Linked DNA regions of Daphnia pulex. The protein of the gene in region 2 interacts with the protein of the main gene of each other region in a biochemical or structural test. Links are inferred from orthologs where the notes say so. Each region holds a gene or a part of one and is shown on either strand. Other genes may lie near its edges.

Region 1 (3,714 bases), on a different chromosome or scaffold from region 2:
GAAACACTTCCGTGGGGTTCTCCATCCGCAAGTAAGAGAATCCTATTTGTCCAGTCGTTAATGGAGATTCTCTTCCTTCGGTCGCTTCGCTGATTGTTGTGATCGGCCCGTCATCAAACACCTCTTCTAGATTGAGTGTATTCTAAACAGACGTGGAGAAACACATCAGTTATCATTAGTGGCCGCGCTATTCTCTAAGTACTTTATTTTGATAATTGTGGCGATCGTACTGCTCGTTCTTCGAGGACTTCATTTGACCAAATGGCACCAATTAACAGCTTTGCGTGTACGATGTTGTAGGCAATTCCGATGACGGTGATTAAACAGAGGACGGCCGAACAAATTGCGTCACTAACACCTGGAACATTCATTCAAATTTCAATTACATAGGATCAAAGCATTCGGATATTAGTAACCACATTACAGGTCGGTCTCTCGCACGATTTGCAGCAAAGTACGAGAAGTGCGCCCACTGAGATAAGTCCCAAGATACCGAGTACGCAATAGCAAACGGCAAGGACAGCTGACGCCTTTAATCTAAATAATAAAATCACGTTACCGTTCAGAAAAACAGATGGCAGTATAGTTAATATTTTGTTATTTACAATTTGATACTTCTGTTCTTTTTAGCAGCTTTTGCAATGAATGCAGAGATCTGACAAATGCAGATGGATGGAAATAGTCCAAGACATAAAAACAATATGTAGTCTCGGCTGGGATCCATAAAACTTGCCAATATCTTCAATGACAACAACAATTTCATTTTTTAAAATTATCATTTTCCTCTTAAACTGAGTTTTGTGTGTTACTTGCCGGAATCAGAAGAACGAGCGATGGGAGAGTAATCGCACTGTTGACGGTGTACATGGATTTTAGTATTCTTCTGACTCGATTATCATTGAAGTAAACATCGGTAACTTCTCCATTATTGGTTACATCTTCTTCAGTGAACCGTATCATTTTTACGCTATAAGTAAATTACACGGTGTGCAGTGAATTTTGAAACTGGGTGATACAACAACCAAAAGAAACACACTGGAAGGTTCCACTGAATGGTGCCGACAAACGACGACGACGAATGTTCGTTTTTAATGTTTGTGTTCGTCATATTCGTGCGTATACTGTGTGCAGATAGTAACTTTTTTGAGCGTTTCTCATATAGAACGATAGGAAAGATAGATAAGAAAATAGTGCGATTGGTCAGGTCAATAGGTTTGATGCGCGATCGTTTCTATCAAACCAGCTTTCACTTCAACGTCTACTTTCTAAATGTGATACTTAAAAAAAAAAACAATTCTTATCTCAGGCCGGTCAATAAACGTTTGGTTTGGAGATGTTGTTAATGCAGAATTTGTGGTGAATATGTTCAAGCCGTAATTAAGCCATTGGATATCAATTGAAATTGGTTTCGTTAAACAAATTATGGATACATATTTATTTTTAAAACAAATCACGAAACACGGGAATGCGAATCACGTTATCGGATTGCGCACCATTTTGGCAACGCGGGACTTTCCACATGCTTTTACCGTAGTCTGCTTGTCCAGTGGATTTTCATTGCTGACGTAAGAAACGCTGCTGTCCCGGCATCACCTTATTTTTTGGATAATCCCTCACATTTATTCTTTCTTCTTAATACGTTAGGTAATTTAGGAATAGAAAAAAAATTCTAGCTTAGAGAACATAATCTTTAACGTGGAGGAAAGCTGTAATTTCGCTATCTAAAATGTCGGTATTGTTCACCATCCACCTAGGCTGCCATCGTGAAAAATGCCCTTATTTTGTCGGTACTACGGTCAAAAATATCCAGAAGTGGATGATGTAGTGATGGTGAATGTGAGATCCATTGCTGAGATGGGAGCTTATGTGCACCTACTAGAGTACAACAATATTGAGGGCATGATCTTGCTCTCTGAGTTGTCCAGGAGGCGTATCCGTTCCATTAACAAGCTCATCAGAGTTGGTAAAACAGAACCAGTTGTAGTTATCAGGGTTGACAAGGAAAAAGGTTTGTTTAATTTACTGTTTGGGTTGTTTCTTTAAATAACCAATTTTCTTCATGTCACCACAGGTTATATTGATCTGTCAAAAAGACGTGTTAGCCCTGAGGATGTAGACAAATGCTTGGAGAAGTATTCCAAGGCCAAGGCAGTAAATTCAATTTTAAGACATGTTGCTGAACTCTTGAAATATCAGACTGATGAAGAGCTTGAGGAACTCTACAGAAAAACAGCTTGGCTTTTTGAGGAGAAATCCAAAAAGCAATCTTCTTCATATGATGTCTTCAAGCAAGCTGTCAAGTAAGTTTTTTCTTTATTCAACCCCAGTTAGTTTTGTTACATTACTACATTTCACAAATTTGGCACACCTTGTTCCTGTGCAGCTTCTATGCAAATCCCTCCATACGGTTCAATGGCCGGTTCCTAAAATTTCAAGAACATAATATTAGTTTATTTTGAATATGTAGTGATCCTTCTCTTCTTGACGAATGCGGCTTGGATGACAACACAAAGGAAGTGCTACTGGGGATTATTAGGCGGAAGCTGACTCAGCAAGCTGTGAAAATCCGAGCTGACATCGAGGTGGCCTGTTATGGCTACGAAGGAATTGGTGCCGTTAAGAAAGCTTTGAAAGCTGGAATTGCCTGCTCCACTGAAGAGATTCCTATAAAAATTAACTTGATTGCTCCACCACTTTACGTCATGACTACGCAGACGCCTGAACGTCAAGACGGACTCAAAGGACTAGAATTAGCCATAGAAAAAGTGAAAGAGATAATTGTTGCACTTGGTGGCGTTTTCAACATTCAAATGGCTGTAAGTTCATCTCTCGTCTACAGATCAACAACCTAAGTATAACGCAATTTCTATTTTAACAGCCCAAAGTTGTTACTGCTATGGATGAAGCTGAATTGGCTCGCCAGATGGAGAAGGCTGAGTTGGAGAATGCTGAAATCGCAGGTAAGGATGGAGTCGGATGTATAATTACGAAAAGAATCTATATAGCTGGGCATATTTATCAACAGGTGATGACGATCAATCTGACATGGAAGCTGAGGGAGCAGGAGCCAATGACGCTGGAAGCGGAGAGGAAGGTGGCGAAGAAGGCGAAGCGGAAGAAGAAGAATAAAGATATACCGCACTCTTATTTTTTACAGACGATGGAAATTACTGCGCTTGGCGCAACTCCGCTCCGATTACACAACTTGAGTGAAGATTCTTTTGTATATTTTTTTAGCAGTACCTAAATCGTATGATGATTTTCCCGATGTGGTCACCCTGGGCGGCGTATTGTCCGGCTTGTTCAGCTTGATCAATTTCAAACACGCGCTCAATAACTGGTTGAAGATGTCCTTTGTTGACTAGATTTGAGATTTCATCCAAAATTGAGGTGGATATTACGGTCGAACCACAAATAGAACTCTAAGAACAGGTGGAAGTTAGTCATTTAATGCTTGGAAGCTTTTCAGGAGCTGGGCTGGACTAACCTTGAGAAATACGAGTTTCATTCGAAGCCACATAGAGTAGAGTGATCCGTAAAACAAGCCATATTTGTCAGACGCAGGTGGGGAGGCGACGGTTGAAACTACCAAACCTCCTTCTCGACAGAGGACACGGCACGAGTCGTGCAAAATCGAGCCAACGGTATTGAGCACAAGGTCAAACTTAGGAAGAGACGACAGCAAAGAATCAAAATCCAAATCATGGCCATTAT
Region 2 (3,163 bases):
CTTGTATATTCCTCATTATAAAGGCCAGTCGAAACTGAATGGAGGAGGATTGCTGAGCTCTGAGGCCACTGAACAACCTCCTACGCTGACACTCTCGATGGTTCCTATAATTGGAAATTGGTTTTCTCCAGTTCAACTGGAAACCACTAAGGACAACCGTGAATCGCAACTAGACCATATTTCTTTGATACAGCGTGATTGCGACTCTCCTCTGAAACAAGCATCAAATTCAACAAGCGACAGTGATCCTTACGAAATAATAGATACCGAAGCTAGCAATGGCGAAGATGTTACTTCGGAGCAACAGAACGAAGTTCCCGTCGAATGTCCTTAGACCATGGAGTTTGAGTGGAAGTAAAAATTTGTTCATAAAATATAAAATTGTAACACACTAGAATTCGTTGTAACTAAGATTATTGAAAGTAATTAAACACAAAATTGTGGCGTAAAACAATTGTGCTTATCCTAAAATTATGGAAATTTTGCTTGGAAAAAAATGGTAAAGGAAAGAAAATGTATTTCTCTCATTAATGACAAAAGACAGCACATATTTTTTTCTGTACGAAGTAATTTACGCCGTTTTGGCTCGAATGGCCGCGCGTTTTCCGGTAACGGCCTGGAAACCAGATTTGATGGAGGCTACAGAACATCTTGAACCGCATGTTTCACATTGGAGGAAGAAAAGTCGAGTATCTTTCTGAAGAATTGTATCAGGTGATCGACACGTATGACAAGTGACGTATTCTTTAACGTAACGACGTAATACGTTTTCCATCTGTTTCTGTTGGAAACGACCTTTGATGATGAGTTGATTGTTACCATCAACAGACCCACTGGTACCTAACTCAGCCAGAAGAAATGCCAATACGTGTTTAGGTTGTCGATGTAACCTGAGAAGCAAAATAATTCTGTCGTAAGAGAAGTAGTCAAAAGAGTAACAAATATAACTTACGTTTTACATATTTCAGAAAAGTTCGCGAATGACGTTTTCTTGGTTCCAATTCGCACAACCTGGGGAGGCCTCATTGTAAACTTTTTCTTTTCTCCAGCTACCATTTCAGGATTCTTCTCTCTCATGATATTAAATACTCGATTAAGAAGCTCATCATAAGTGTAATCTCCATCAGTGGTCCAGGCAACTCCAGCATTTTCCTCTGTAAAACAAATGTAAAAAATGTTGACTTTTGAATTCAAACCATAATGTATTTCTTTATTACCTTTCTCGTCTTTCTCTTCTTCAACTGCTCCAGTATTTTTCTTCTTCTTCTTCTTTTTCAAGCTTTTAGAAAAGTCAAGATCTAAATCCTCTTGATCTTCAACTGCTTCTCCTTCTTGTCCTTCAACTTCAGGTGAGGCTACTTCAGTATCTTCAAGTTGGAAAGCCTTCTTTTTAGATTTTTTCTTCTTTTTGCCAAAGCTTTCAAGATCTAAGTCATCTACTTCTTTTACTTCTTCCTCTTCAGGATTTTCGTTTTCCTTTCCTACTTCTAACTCAACCGGCTCATTGCCAACTGTTCCACCAGCTAAAGCTGCGTCAAAATCGAAAGGGGTCTTCTTGGCCTTCTTCTTTTTCTTCTTCAAAGATGGATCAAAAATCTAAAAAAAAACAATTTATATAATTTGACATGGTAAACACTCTAAACAATAACTTACTGCTTCTTCTTCTGCCATGATTAAACAATACTAATTTTGTAGCACAAGTTATTAACAAATATAACGGTGTAAACGTGTCTAGCCGGAATACCAGCTGATGCAATGGCAGACCTGAATGCTGTTTTACACACAGCTAAGCTGTTGCCATTACGTCATGTGAACCACATAAATGCCATTAAGAACTCATTGAATTGGAAGTTTAATTTATATGTTACGTATTTTGATTATTTTATGTAAGTTAGAGAATAAATTTCAAGATATTATCAAAATAAAATATTAATGTCAGTTGTTTGGCAAGCATGTTAATTAGCAGACGACATATTTAGTTATTTACTGCAACGTGATTCCTGATTCGGGAATTTTGATCGTGTAATCGTGTAAATGCGTACTCTGCCTCGTTTTGACAATCTAATTTTTTAGTAATTTGATAATTTTATATCAGCATACCTCTTACCTCTATAATAAGCTCATGATGTGTTCTATTAACGAAGAAAACTTAGCCGAAGAGACCATGGTCGCAACTCCCAAACTATCAGTGTAAGATTTGGTTATTTGCTTGTAACCCGAAACTACCATTTAAACAAAAATTGTCATTTAGTACAGATGCAATATGCCGCAGATGTAACATACTAAAGGCTCAAGTTCTTCTACGTAAAACAGATCCATACTGTCGGTGAGTCTAAAACGAACTTAAAAAAAAATCTTCTTAATTCATCATCAAAAATTTTTTGTTTCAGTGATTGTTTTATGAAGTATGCTGTCCATAAATTCCGTTCCACGATTGGGAAAGCACATGCTCTTAAACATAATGAACATGTTTTATTGGCATATTCTGGAGGATTATCTAGTGGGTCCATGGTAAAGCTTATTAAAGAAGGCTTGGATCTCTCAGAAAGTAAAAAAATTAAAATGGTGTTCAAACCTACTTTAGTACACATAGACGGTAATTCAAATTCAGTTGCCAGTATAAAGAAATCAGAATAATTCTTAGTTTCTATACCTTTCTTAGAAGGTTTAATTTTGAATCTTTCCAAACACGAAAGGAAAGAAACCACTGATTTTGTTCTTGAGCAGGCTAAAAAAAATGGCTTTGATGTTTACATCTGTAGCCTTGAGTACTGTTTAGCACCAGACCTCAATGACTTGAAGCTGGAAATGAATTCTTACCAAATCGAATCTTCTATTTATGAAAGCCAACTGGAGACGCTATTTGGTTCTGTGAAAAGTCTTACGGCAAAGGAAGATTTACTAATTCGTTTGAAACAGCGTTTGATCACACTTTTAGCTACTCGATTGAATCACGCAAAAGTATTTTTAGGTCCAAATGCTACTAGATTGGCCGGCCAACTTCTATCTGCTATCGGTCAAGGAAGGGGGGCTCAGATTGCCCATGAGATAGTAAGTTGTCGTCGATTCTTTCTACTTTATAACGAATAAATTAATTTCTTTACATTTTTCTTTACTACAGGGATTTACGGATTCTCGTACCGGTACTGTTTTTCTACGACCT

Evidence for each region.
Region 1: the proteins of eukaryotic translation initiation factor 2 subunit 2-like (region 2) and eukaryotic translation initiation factor 2 subunit 1-like form a complex in vitro, tested with the Homo sapiens proteins (2 studies listed by BioGRID and IntAct). The link is inferred for Daphnia pulex from reciprocal best matches to the Homo sapiens genes EIF2S2 and EIF2S1.

Annotation. Positions count from the first base shown.
Region 1 is NC_060028.1:8,094,954-8,098,667, forward strand, and holds eukaryotic translation initiation factor 2 subunit 1-like, read left to right. Parts: upstream 1-1,482; 5' UTR 1,483-1,644; intron 1,645-1,754; 5' UTR 1,755-1,770; coding exon 1,771-2,008; intron 2,009-2,071; coding exon 2,072-2,300; exon of another isoform or gene 2,301-2,386; coding exon of another isoform or gene 2,387-2,423; intron 2,424-2,467; coding exon 2,468-2,816; intron 2,817-2,878; coding exon 2,879-2,960; intron 2,961-3,025; coding exon 3,026-3,129; 3' UTR 3,130-3,214; downstream 3,215-3,714. Other genes in the region: uncharacterized protein LOC124208437, read right to left, coding at 1-142, 231-358, 425-537, 606-739, 814-960; reticulon-4-interacting protein 1 homolog, mitochondrial-like, read right to left, coding at 2,387-2,423, 3,244-3,422, 3,488-3,714. UniProt on the Homo sapiens protein: Member of the eIF2 complex that functions in the early steps of protein synthesis by forming a ternary complex with GTP and initiator tRNA. This complex binds to a 40S ribosomal subunit, followed by mRNA binding to form a 43S pre-initiation complex (43S PIC).
Region 2 is NC_060020.1:3,233,582-3,236,744, forward strand, and holds eukaryotic translation initiation factor 2 subunit 2-like, read right to left. Parts: upstream 1,812-3,163; 5' UTR 1,672-1,811; coding exon 1,654-1,671; intron 1,597-1,653; coding exon 953-1,596; intron 891-952; coding exon 572-890; 3' UTR 501-571; downstream 1-500. Other genes in the region: uncharacterized protein LOC124192455, read left to right, coding at 1-334; cytoplasmic tRNA 2-thiolation protein 2-B-like, read left to right, coding at 2,123-2,190, 2,252-2,326, 2,391-2,596, 2,663-3,051, 3,122-3,163.